Linked DNA regions of Drosophila melanogaster. The protein of the gene in region 1 interacts with the protein of each later gene in a pairwise test. Each region holds a gene or a part of one and is shown in the gene's direction. Other genes may lie near its edges.

What was found. The genes of interacting proteins can lie anywhere in the genome.
Region 2: the proteins of CG18528 (region 1) and CG11791 interact in a two-hybrid assay, tested with the Drosophila melanogaster proteins (one large-scale study listed by BioGRID).

The regions. Positions count from the first base shown.
Region 1 is NT_033777.3:24,355,812-24,364,717, reverse strand, and holds CG18528 (uncharacterized protein), read left to right. Parts: upstream 1-4,573; 5' UTR 4,574-4,651; coding exon 4,652-4,840; intron 4,841-5,158; coding exon 5,159-5,464; intron 5,465-5,520; coding exon 5,521-6,507; 3' UTR 6,508-6,623; downstream 6,624-8,906. Other genes in the region: CG17784 (uncharacterized protein), read left to right, coding at 25-263, 321-431, 493-637; CG33340 (uncharacterized protein), read right to left, coding at 755-1,444; CG33339 (uncharacterized protein), read right to left, coding at 1,652-1,781, 1,844-1,960, 2,009-2,191, 2,247-2,318, 2,377-2,421, 2,477-2,871; CG5762 (uncharacterized protein), read left to right, coding at 3,167-3,580, 3,639-3,827; Golgin84 (Golgin-84), read left to right, coding at 6,842-8,177, 8,233-8,447.
Region 2 is NT_033777.3:25,048,577-25,053,574, forward strand, and holds CG11791 (uncharacterized protein), read left to right. Parts: upstream 1-1,666; 5' UTR 1,667-2,587; coding exon 2,588-2,980; intron 2,981-3,906; coding exon 3,907-4,059; 3' UTR 4,060-4,498; downstream 4,499-4,998. Other genes in the region: CG11790 (uncharacterized protein), read left to right, coding at 1-27, 89-214, 696-858.

The DNA.
Region 1 (8,906 bases):
ACTTATCCTACCGCCTACTTGCAGTTAGTACCTAGCCTGGCGTATCCTGTGAAGCAGACCGACAAGGAGCAGTCCTTTTGGTGGTTCTTCAACTTGCAAGGCCAGTGGATACCCACCACCATTCCCCTCTACTGGTGGAGCTTTTGGAACACCACCGCTTTTGTGTCTACTGCTCGCGAGTGGCGCAAGGACATGCAGGCAAAAGTCCTGCACGACGAGGCGCGCACATGGGTCTACAATGCCATCGAAGTAGGCATGGAGCAGTGAGTATAACTTTAGGGATTAGCTACCTATTTTTTAATCCCCCTCTTTGTCTGCAGACTAGATGGTGCTTACGGCGGAGTTTGCCTGCTCAGAAGCATATGCGAAATCTCGCAGAAACCCTTTCAGAACAGCAACATCTTCAGTGAGATCGTAAACGCAGTACTGGTGTATGTGACATTTTACTTGGAATGGTTGAGTTATGAATTGTAATTATAAATGAATTTCCAGACCCACCCTGGACAATGTGGCCAGTAAGTATTTACATGCCCGTGACGCAGGACGTGGAGGTGCCGACTGCGAGCGAACCTATAGTGACTGCAATCCGCTGCTCTGGAGCCTCGTGACAAATATGGCCAAGAATCCGTTTCAGTGATCACACATCCTGCATCCGTGCTGGCACTCAGGGCAAACATTTTAATCTCCTCATACAAATAAAAAATGTATATGCTGTAGAATCGTAAAAGCGCTTTATATAATCAGGGCCACGGCTCTACTTCTTGGCAATGGCTCGTCGTCGGAACTCGGCCCAAATCTCACAGAGCAGCGGTTTCGCCAGACAATTGCACTCCTTCAGTGGCGGGGCATCGGGCTTGAGACGTCGGCACTCGGAGAAAGATGGATATGGCGTCCGGGGCTTCACACACGGCAGGGGTCCTCGTTCCCTTCTGCATGAGGGTGGTCGGCGACCATCGCGATGGCAGCGACGGGCCAGACGGGGACACAGATCCTCCGACGGATCCGGACAAGGCTGCGGGCAGGCGGTCGATGGCTTCGCCGATGGCTTTCGCCGCTTGATAGGAGCCGGCTTAGCCTTGGCGAAACAGCAAATCTTCTTGGGCTTAATCTGGATGGGAGGGCAGGCCACCCATGTCTGCCAGTACTTCCGCTTGGCCTTGTCCGACTCGACGTAGTAGATATCGTCGAAGCGCGGATTGAACGGACAGGCGGTGTCGTCGGGATCACAGAATGGGTTCAGCCACATGGACTGTGCCTTGACCATCTTCCTCTTCTTCTTGGGCGGAGCCTGCAGATTGGGTTTGCCGCAGGGGAACTTGGTCAACACCTTCGGGCACCGGCTCGGCCCCTTCTTTTCACAACCGGATGCAAATCGCACACAGCTGTTAACCGCACCAAAAATTGGACGGAACAGTACTCGGGAGGGATTAACACTCAGTGCCATTTTTGAGCTCTGGAATTTTGAATTTTTAACCGAAATATATTTTCCAAAAGGTTTGGGCCGGAAATTTAGATGGAATTTTGCGAACACGAAACTGGGAGGCTAGAGACCTATCCAGCTCGAGAACGGAATGAGAACTGATGACTCTGGGTTATCCGAAATCACAGTACAACGACTTGGGGCGGAAGTTCGATTCTCGGCTCACTATGTTTACAATTTTGCACCACTTTGGGTAAGGAAGTCTAGAACATTGTAGGGACAACTTGGGGCGTAGAATCGGGCACAGTCCTGGTTATCCATGCGATGCCTGTACTTATCATCGGCCACCTCTTCGGGAACTCTGAAGTATAGTTTATTATGGTTTTAATGGCATTATATATGACAATGAATTATTTTACTTACGTCAGCACAATTCGCATTAGATCCTCCATGAGGAATCCCTGATCTTGACCTGCATTTAACTTGGCCCTTAGTTCACACATGGCTCTCTTGATACAAGACCTTAGGTCCAACTGAAAACTATTAATAGGTTCTTTTAAATTATTCTGTGGATCACTTAAGACTTACACTTTTCCCATGGCCTCGAGTTGATCGAAAATCTCTCTGCGTTCTCTGTATCCACGATGTAACTTCCAACTAGGCACTTGATCCCAGGATTCATAAACTTCTTCCTCCGGTGGATATGAGTTTCTCTGATTTGCAGACAAGCTCCATGGGCTATGATAGAATGAGGCCCTATTCAATGAGGGTCTGAAATATTTTAAAGCCACTTTAGGGTATTTCAAAATGATTAATCTTATATTACCTCGATGTATAAAACTCTTTCCTGCGATTAGTGGGCGAGGATGAATGCCATGAAGCTTGGGGAAATGAATCCCTAGTAGGACATTGAACTTGTAATTATTACCTCTTGAAAGTAATTCATAATAATTTACCTCGATGTTGCTTGGTAGAATGGAACTCTATGATTGTTAGCAGGACTAAAACTTAAAATTTCGAATTTATTTCTTTAACGGTTAAATATATATACTTTACCTTTCGTAATGAGCATTTCTATATGGATCCGCATAGTATGGATAATAGCTTTCAGGTCTTTTGCTATATGACCAATCATACCGGCGTTTTGGCGTTGACATTGGCTTTGGCTTCATCTTCTTTAGGATCTTGGGCTGCCAACCCTCAATGGTGTCGGGAACCGGAACGTACATATCAAACTCCAAGCTGTACTGAAGGCCACTTGGTCGTCCGCCCAAAATTAGTTTGGTTAGGGCGGCGGTCAGGAGAAGGGATGCCTTGTCGGGAAAAACCAAAGCACGCACCCGTCGCGATAGAATGCGATTCTCCAAAGAGGAGCCCACCAGATGGGTTTGATTCCCAATAGCCGCCCTAATGGCTCCGATCAACAGAAGTACCAAAATCGTAGACCTCATGCCGCCACTCTGAGAACTCAACTGATCTGTGTGACAGATACTAGTCGTGGAAAATTAACGCCAGGTGAACAGTGCTAATTAAGAAAGGTGAGCCGACTTACAGCATCAGGTGTGCCTTGATTCGTACGCACCTTACATGTCACCTCGATTTGTTGGGAGCGGATTCAGTTCGTTACACGCCGCCTCTTTGGAAGCAGGCTACATTTTGGCATTCCAATACTAAAACTTACACAATTCCCTAATTCTTTTAATAAAATTTCTAAAACTGTAAAAAAAAAAAAAATATCTTCCGAGAATGGTTAACATCCACGGTGGCACTCGGATGATGGTGAACCGTTGCATCGAGCTCCTCCGTGCGCGGATCGAATGCGCCTCAACGCGTCACATTGCCAGGCGTTCCCAGCGGCCCAGAGTGGGCAGCCAATACCTGCCAGACGATCAGATACTCAGGGAGCGGGAGAAAGCGGATGTGTACAAGAAGAACAAGCGACGCTCCATGTGGGAGCAGGACGAGGGCCACGGACGCATCTCGGTCGGGGACGATCAGGAACGCTTCGATAACGAGCAGTACCATCCGCGCGAACTGGAGAAGCGCAAGTACGAGTGCACCTGGGTTAATTTCCCGGACAGTGTGGCGACCAAACGAAATCGTAGACGGGACTTTCTGGAGTCGATGGAAACTGAGGCTCCTCGACGCCGCCGAGCCCAGGTGCCTATTTTTTGGAATATTTCAAACAAAAATCAATTTGAAATAATCTTTTTTGCAGGAAGAAAGACCGAGTACGGCAAAGCCATGTGACGACGAGGCCCGTGCCTTTATCAACCAATGGGACACCAATGCGGCGATGATCCAACGCAACAAATTTGCTCGTGCCACCGATAGCTGTCCACCACCCATTGTATCTCTCCGGTTGTCAAACGCCTACAGCACCCGAAAACGTCAGTTCTTATTCTAAACCGTTTATATTTGACAGTTGTATTCGCATCAGAAATTCTAGCAATCGCTCATTCTTGTAGCCTGATCAAATTGATAGTGTCGAAGGCATCAGATTTTAAAGCGTCCAAATCCGAAAATGTAACTGTAAAAATGTAACACATCTGCACTAGATGTGATATTTGTTACTAATAAAATATTTAAGTGTATTTGTCTTCGTCAAAAGCGGAGAGGGAATTTGAGAAGTTCATCACAGCTTGGCTAAAATTGGTCTCAGAGACTTAATAAGAACTATTTCTTACAGCTTTTTACCAATGCTTATTATTTTTATCAACTTTTGGTGAAATAAAAAAAAAAATTTTTTTTTTTCTATTTTCACATTTTTTATAAGGGGTAACAACGTCTATTTTTTTCAAAAAACGTCAAAAAAATAAAATTACCAAATTTGAACTCCAACCAATTAAGGGCTTAATTACAAGTTCATCGAGATATGTCATTCGATATTTTCCAACGCTTTTGACAAAAAATCTGATAATTATTTGACAAAAAATTACAAAAACTACTTCTGTCTAATTGAATAAAAGTGAATTCTTTCTATCCAAATAACAAAGAAATAAATAAAAAACGTTCCCATGTTTCAAATCCCATATTTCGGTCAAAATGGTTTGTGTCGGGACTGGAGATTTACCCAAGCTTACCACCGCTCCATAATTGTTTACGCACAATTCTTTAGTATATATCTCCGAGTGGAATGATATATTTTTGTAACGGCCATTCCGCGGTCACACTTAATATCACGTTCAATTGTTTATTATTCGGCGGTTGGGATTTAATTGTTTTTCGGCGATGGCGCTTCTCAGAAACGCGTCCCAGAGCTTCTTGGGCAGTTTCCGGCGCTTTGCCAGCAGCGGATGCACCATCTACAGCCTCAGTTCCGGTCATGTCAAGTGCGGTGTGTCCGTGATCCGTGTCTCCGGGCCGCAAACAAAGAAGGCCCTCCGAGCAATTGTTGCAAACAAAGAATACGAGCCAAAGGCAAGTCAATCGATATAAACGTTTATTATTCCATATATGAGGGGTCGTGACCTGTGCAGTGTATAGTTTTGTTTTCTAGTATCCAAAATATATGTATGCAAATGAAAAGACCTGTTGCTTATTTATATACATTTTGGGAGATGTATCCTGTATAAAAATAAACAAATTTCTCCTAACTTACATATAATTGACTAAATAAATTGAATAATTTCGTGAACTGCTTAATTTGTTATAATTGGCAAGCTGCCAGGTTTTAAGACGAGAGACCTCTATGATAGTGAAACTTATAGTTCCCTTTATAAATACTTTTCCATATAGGCTCGTCAGGCGTATCTGAAATCCTTCTACCATCCCGCCAGCAAAGAGATGATTGACCGTGGGCTCTTACTTTGGTTTCCGGGACCGGCTTCTTTCACTGGCGAGGATTCCTGCGAGTTTCAGGTACACGGGTCCCTGGCAGTCATTGCGGCCATGTTGGATGCTCTGGGAAAAGTGGATGGATTGCGGCCGGCGGAGCCGGGAGAGTTCACAAAGAGAGCGTTCTTTGGTGGCAAACTGGATTTGACAGAGGTGGAGGGATTGGCCGATCTTATCCATGCTGAAACGGAGGCGCAAAGAAAGCAGGTAGACAGTGGACTTAGGGTCTCATAAATTTTGTTTCAAGTCTCTTCTTTCTCCAGGCACTGCTACAAAGCACTGGAGCACTGGCTCGACTCTACGACAACTGGCGCCGTCGACTTATTCGCTGTGCTGCCCATTTGGAGGCCTACATAGACTTCGCCGAAGAGGAGCAAATCGAAGGCGGCATCATCCTGCAACTCGGCAAAGAACTAAAGGCGGTAAAGCGTGAGATTCGCGAGCATTTGAGTGACCAGCGGCAGGGAGAGCTCCTCCGCGACGGAGTCCGCACTGTGATCATTGGAGCACCCAATGTTGGCAAGAGTAGTCTGCTCAATCTCCTCTGCCAGCGATCCGTGTCCATAGTGACGGATCAGGCGGGCACCACAAGGGATATTATAGAAACAATGCACAATTTCGGAGGATACCCGGTGGTATTTTCCGACACAGCCGGATTACGCCGATATACTACGGATAGTATAGAGCAGGAGGGAATGCAGAGAGCCAAGAATTGTCTAGTCCAATCTGATTTGATATTGCTCCTAGCAGAAGCCAAGAACATTGCACAGCTGACGCACGACGACGCAGTTGCTCCGTTTGTAGATAGCTATCTGGGCGAGTTGGATATACCTCTGGACATGTGCTCAGGGAAACGTCTGCAATTGGTGGCCAATAAAACCGACACTTTGACGGATGAGGAGCATCAGCAGCTGGACAAGCTGTCCAACGTGTTAGCCATATCATGCCATAAGCCCGATAAGATGCCCGTGTTTCTGGGATCACTGGAGAAGCAGCTGCAAGAACTGTGCGGAGAACCGCGGGCGGAGAATCCACGCATCACAAACACACGCTACCGTCAGCAACTGGAGCGCTGCATTGAGAACATTGATATTTTTCTACGAGATTACAGACCCGACGTTTACCCGGACATGGCCATAGCCGCCTCCAAGCTGCGCAACTCCGTGCGCTGCATCGAACGCATCACCGGACACATCAGCTGCGAAGATATACTCGACGTGGTCTTCAAGGACTTTTGCATTGGAAAGTGAAGAGATAGTTTATAGTTGTGAGTTGCGAAGATTACACTGCCCATGTTGAGTATTGAATAAAATATTCATTTGTACCCTAGAGTTTTGATAAGCATAATAAATTAACATTTCTGCACGGATAAGAAAGATTGGAATTACATTTATTTCTAAAACCAATCCTTACATTTTCATATAAATATTTTTTTGATCAGAAAAAAGGTTTTTCAAAATTACGTTACTTTTAGAGTGACCTTAACTTTGGAGTTGACCATTCCGCAGTCGATAGCGATATGGGCACACAGTGTGATATTGTTTACGTGTTTTACTCGAAGAGATTTGTTTTTCTTAGAAAAATATGTCATCCTGGATCACAGGACTGGCGGACAAGGCCGAAAACATTTTGAACAAGCTGGACCAAAATGCGGCAACGGCCCTGCAGACAGAGAACGCCACAGGTTCAGCGGATCCCATGCGTAGGAGCATGACGAGCAGCACCCAATCACTGTCCACATCCCTGAAGTCCACTCTGTCGCCAGTGCGGCGCTCGGGGGCCAATAGCTCATCAAGTGTAAAAAGCGATGGCGGGGTCTCCGTGGTCACTAAGGACATGCGCCAAAAGATGACCACGTCGGCCAGTTTCTCCAACAGTCCCGACATATCCGCCAACTCAATGGACACAAATGAATTGGCTGCCTTCAAGATCGCCCTGAATGAAATCACGGCCGAAAGAGATGAACTGCGTCTGCGCTTGGAAGATCTTAATAACGAAACCGAAAAGTTTGATCTGCATCAACACACCCAGGTGCTGGAAGCTCTGGTTAAAAGTCTGTCCGAAGAGCGGGACAAGGCGGTTCATGACTACAATGAGGCCCAGGCAGCTAACATGGCGTATGTGCACTCCATCTCCGAACTGGAAACCAATCTGGCCAAGTTGCAGCAGGAATACATAAGCGCCGCTCACAAATTGCAAATGCAAACAAAGGAAACGGAGCAGCAGCGCCAGGAGCTTCAGGAATACCGTATCAAGGCTCAGCGAGCTCTGCAAGCAAAGGATTCCCTCATCGCAGAGTTGAAGGCGAAGCCCACGGAGGAGGGCGCAGATCCAAACCTGGTGTCCAAGGACAGTGAAACGCGTTTTCTGCAAATTGAACACGAGTCACTTAAGCAAGAACTAGAGCATGCCAACGAGGAACTGCAAAAGGCGCGCTTGCAGCTGGACGATTACGTTTCCCAGGAAAGACAACGACAGGTGGAACTAAGCTCTGCCCGCCAACGCGAGGAAACACTAGCAAAGGAGTTGCGACAGGCAAGGGAACACAGTGTGACCTCCGAATCCGATCAGCGAGTGCTCACGCAGGAACTGGCCTCACTGCGGCAGCAACTTAGTAACCAAATGGCTGCTGCCGCCACTCGACTCCAGGAGCGGGAGCAGCAGCTTCAGCAGATGCGTCAGCGATTGAGCGAGGAAGCCAACACGGGAGCCAAGAGCGATTACGAGACTCGGCTAAAGGCTTTAACCCAATCACTGGTCGAACGTCAAAGTCTTCTGGAAAGAGTTACGAGTGAGAGAAATGCCCTGCGACTACAGCACGAAAAGGCACAGACGCAGCTACAGCAAAACATGCACTTGGTGGAAATGGAGAGCCAAAGGGGCAGCTCCCGCCATACTATGCTCAACAGCACAGATGATGGTAAGTCTAACATTCTGCGAGTACCAGAAATTACATAAATATGAGTTCTACCTAGTCAAAGCACAATTCCCGCTTCTCATGCATCCAAGTCCATTCGATAATCGTGTGGCACGACGCTTCAAGCGAGCCCTTCGCCAGGCGGACTCCATGGGTATTCGGGTGGGAACGTTTCTGCGTCGCTATCCCATGATGCGGGTCTCTGTGATCGTCTACGTGGCCCTACTACATCTGTGGGTCATGTTTGTGCTGCTCTCCACTACACCAAACTAATCGAATCAAATACATTTAGTTGAGCAATTGTTGTATTTCCATAATATTGTATGTATTGTATTTTACGCGCCAAAATTGGATATCTAGTGGTACGAGTATATGTGTCATGTTTGTGGTTGCAACAATTGTATATATCGATATTATACTTGTGTCTCGCACTCGTTCTAAATTCAATATTCAATAAACATCAACTATGTACAGAAATTGCAATTGATTTAACGCTAAAAACATCCAGCAAACAAGTAACAAGACCGAAAAAATTAGCACTACTAAGTTAGGATTAGAACGATTCCTCACAGTTCAAATATTGCATAAAGAATCCATCTACAGATGCTGTAAAATTGTTAAGTAAACGTGAATTAGTTTAACTTCAGTTTAACTCCAGTTGCTGGGCAGAGCTGATAGTTCTAGCTAAGCGGAAGAAAATAGAGAGTATACGCTTTTGGGACGATTCGCGTA
Region 2 (4,998 bases), 690 kb from region 1:
AGTATTGGAAGCACCGGCTTTTATTTTGTAAGCCCTGATCGCTTTGGTTGTGTCCAAGAATAGATTATATAAATTATAATCATTACAGCTTGAGGCAAGGAAAGATGTACAAATATTCAGCCAAGCAATACAGTCCCGAAGCCTTTGTCCAGTTTGCTGAGAAGGGATATACCCAGAGCCATCCTCAACCAGTGCCCGCAATCCCAAGTGCCGTGTAAGTATTCCTCTCATAGCTAAAATGATTTTAAATTCATCCATCGATCGAATTTTAAACTCAAAGTCCGATTATGACCTTTTTATAGGGATTTGTGAGAAACTGATACATGTGTTTAGTAAGTGAGCCAAGATAAAACTTGTAAACCTATTAATAATTACTATTAGTTAACAAATACTGATTCTTTGTCCCCGGTACAAGGTTGCATATAACGCCAGTTTGAGGGTATTCAACATAGACACTGATTCCACCATCGAGCATAAAACAATTGTTAATATCACTCCGTTGATTAATATCGAACCAAATGTTAATCGTAACCGTTGTATATTATCCAGTTTGTACATAAACAATATTACATTAATCAATTATACCCTGGTTAAAACAGTTCCTGGTTTGAGAAGATCGAATTTAATACTACACAACGTTTATCCTAATAACCAATGATCAAATGAGCTAATGTTTTAACTTTCGTGCTTTTCAGAAACGAATTTTTGGGCCCACTGCAAAGTTATTTTGCAGCTGAAAACATAACATCGCTGGCGACTTTGAGTATTTTCGCCTTAGTTGCTCTCTTATTCGTTGGCAAAAAGGTTGCCAAAATATTCAGTTCAGAGCCTGCGAAAACAAAAAATAAGTCGAAATAAAACTAATATAAAGACTAAATGAAACACGACGTTTTTGAATTAGTCGAGTGACAACAATTAGCGGAAAAGTGGGCGCGAAAATTCAACTGCTGCAATTCCTAACGCCACAAAAACTGGCAGCTCTTTTGGCTGGAACGGTGGAAGCGGAACATGCAAATATGGATACCTAATATCGCAAAAGATCCATTGTTCACTGGCGCACAACGCTGACAATACCTATATCCTATCTCTTGATTGCTTTCAATTAATTAGCGGGCAAGCAAACAAAAATATTTAGATCGGCCCATTTAGCAACTGGGCTCGGAGTTCAGGGGCTAACTCGGCTAGCAATCTAGCCAATTGCTTAAGTGCGATGATAGTTTGGCGTGGAACGCTCAAATTAAAGCAGCGTTTCGTTTCGTAAAGCGTGAGATTCGCGATCGTGTTGTTAGGCAGTTTTTTTTTATTTGTTTCGCAGCGGTCATCGTTGGCGTAAGCGTATTCCTCGGAACCTGGATTTTTTGTATCTTGGGGTAAATCACTCAAAACACGCTATTTATACACCCGCTGATACCCAAATACACGCAAATGTACCCGAATTGGTGTTGGTTAAAACACAGTGCTCGCTAAATGTCAGCTGACGTCAGAAGGTCTTGAAAAAAGAGCGAGGAGTACACACGAACACAAAAACGATTACGAATACGAGTGGGACGTATATATGTGTAGTGCGGTATATCGATATCGGTAGATCGAGAGAGAACACTACACTCACACGACACTCACATTCGCATTCGCAGCGACTTTCGATTGAGATTTTGGTTGGCTGTGGCTGTAGTCAAGCGAGCGCACATGAGTCAGATTCGTAGCTTTTGTTTTGTTCAGTCGAGTGCGAGTTCTGTGCGATTCAGATACTCGCTGCCATCCGAACCGAACTGAAGTCCAAGTCGAATCTAATGTGCGTACTTACGTGTAGAACAGTTCAAGAAAATGTGCAGACATTCAACGGTCGCATTTGTGTGGATGTGTGGTTGTAGTGAAGAGTGCCAGCATTAATCGCATTTTTCCCCTGCACGAGCACCACGACTAGAAAATACTCGACACGTCTGTCTGTTTTTCTGCTTTATTGCTTCTACGCTATTCTGCTTTTCCGTTTCGGTTTTCCTCCGCTTGGCCTAGTGAAAAACAACAAATTTGATTATATTGTGTAAGTTATGTCTAGCATTGAAAAGATGAAAAGTGTCATTCCTATAAATACACCACCACCTCGGGAAAGGCACTCGCAATAGAGAAACTGGCCAAAACCCAACAACAAACATAACAAACAAAGGAACCGCTGAATATAACCAAACTTCGGAGTAGGGGCTGAGCTAAAAAGTATAGTGCGCAGCCATCATGACTAACTCACCACCCAAAACGCCAGCCCAATTACAGAAAATCGATATTCTAGTCGCGCTGTAACGCTGCGTAGCTGCTAAATACACAGCTCCCTACCTGCAAACAACCCGAATACAAAAAAAAAAAAAAGAAAACTACGAATAACAAAACAGTCAGGCGAGGCATTAGTATACCGAAAAGCGAAAACCACTTCCGCCAATGGTCGAAATCGCCGTCGCCATCTCGACATTTAGCTAGCCATATAGCAAATGTCTTTACATATCATACCGATATAATAGAAACCATCTGTGATACGCGTGTACCTTAAAAATGAACTAACTTTGCACCGATCGAGGGTATCACTGGGAAATTAACGATGCGTCTTGTCCGCAGTAAATGTTGTCAACGTGATGTTTCTGTAACCGACTATCTGAACACCCCGCATCCGCACCAGCACCATCCATCGTCCACCGACGTCCAGCACACCAAAAACATATTTACACGCTACTGGGACGACCACATAAGAATGAAGGAATCGAGCGAGGGCAAAACCAGGGCCAAGGCCCCATCCGCTGCCGCATCCGCATCCACCACACCATCGTCATCTTCAGCACCTGCCAAACAAACCCAGAGCGTTACGTTCGTGAGGACCAGTAATGCACCAGCTGTTTGCGACGCCAACGGGAACGGGAATGGGTGCTCCATCCAAACGGAGTGGACATTCCCCCCAAAGGCGCCCACACCGCACATCTACAATTGCCTGAGTCCGGTAAGTCCACACTGAAAGTAAAAGCGTTGGAATATCATGTAAGTTAGGATCAGATACAACTTTATAATATGGTATATAATATATTTTCGAGCGAATTAAGATTGTAAAGAGATAGCGTATATGGCGTAGTTTATTTTTTGCTTCGCCTGCATAGTTCCTGTGTAATAGATAGACCACCCACCCCATTCGCCCATTCGCCCATTCGACAAGTTTCCTCCGCAGTGCAGATTATCATGACGTAACGATTATTAGATACTCCACGGGCGACCGTCGTCTGTACGCAGTATAGTTAGTTCCTAGTCTTTGTGCTCGTGTGTTGGCGGAAGATAAAGGGGAAACAAATTGTTTGCACTTCAGCAATTGCCATTTAAGTCATTAGTATGTATGGCGGTTTGAACCTATGTACATACGGACATTTGGCAATATATTATAGGCTTTTGCTTGGGCACGCTCGGCCATAAATAGATCTATACCGAGGAATTTCAAAGATAAGATTAGAGAATCGCATATACAAGCGCAGGTCAGCTGGGGTTCATAAATAACAAATTCACTCGGATCGTATGTTTATAATTAAGGAAGGGCTAAATCACTTTTGTTTTCCGGTTTTCACTTTCTCGCTTGCACAATTGCACATCTCACAGATATTCATAAAACGTACAAGGACTTTTTGGCGAAACACTTACATTACTAAATTCAGGAAACTCCCCGATTCAATGAATCAACAAAAGTAACTTGACACGTTCTAGAAATTTTGCAGTTTTGAAATATGCATTAGCGATAAGGCAAAAACTAGAATATGACTCACAATCAGCGTGTAACTAAGTAAATATTATACATAATAAGTGAATGTAGAGATATTAATTTATTTCGGAGTTTCTAAGATTTTACCAAATTTTATACTTATAAAATACTCTTCATTCTTCCAGGACATGATGGCCTCAAGTGATAAGAGCAGCTTTAAGGGATTTCGCAAGCAATTCAGTGGACGGTTCAAGCGCCTAGTTACTCGAAAAGTGGAACACACTCCAGTGATACCTCCAGAATTGAAGCCGCAACTAAAAACAATATACGTTTACTAACTTAAGATGTAACGACAATTGCAAGCACAAGTGTTTTCCCCACTATGTACGTATGCACCTCATCGGTTGGCGTATACATATGTGTATGTAAATGGCAGGAAACATTAGTGATAGGAAAAGCAAGATAAACTAAGTAATCATAATACCATTCTGATTGACAATTTTAAGTATTCAGCGTATTCGTGCGTATTGTTAGGCTCAATAAAAAAACGAACATTGCAAAGACAGACGAGGTTTAAAATGAATTGGAACAAAAGTCACGGGGTTCATGAAATACATACATATCGAGAAAGAACATAACATAAATGTTCAAATATCTGCTGGTAGTACCGATACGAATCTATGTATTTGCTTCTTTTTCAAATAAGTTAAAGGAACCTACTATCCTACCTATACCTACATGTTCATTAATTACGATTAAAGAAATAGTTTAATTACCAAACTGCTGAAATAATTATTGTGTTGGTAGTTTCTGTGTGAAGGATGAAATGGAAAGCAATTTAACGAGACACATGGGCACATTATCTCGGTCTGCTTCAATCGATGAACCAAGGAGCTTTTCCATATCGAGCAACATACAACTGAAACCACAAGCCATGCCAACATTCAAACTTAGTGGAACGAAGAACTGGCTGCTATCATGCGAAAAGAATTTAGCCACTAAAATGGTGCTGCGATAAGATTGAGGTAAGCAAAGTGGATATGCCACGTTGTGCGGACTGAGAGAAGCGATGGCAACCACAAAATGTGCTATCTTAGGAAAACATACCCCGAAATCCGCAGTAAGAACTCCGTTTTAATGGTTCACTTATCATATGTATTCGAAATTAACTAGACAATTAAATAAAATGCTTACTTTATTCCAATCTAAACGTACGTACACACAAACGCGTCTATATATATACATAGTCAAGTACTCGTATATATAGCTCCACCGAC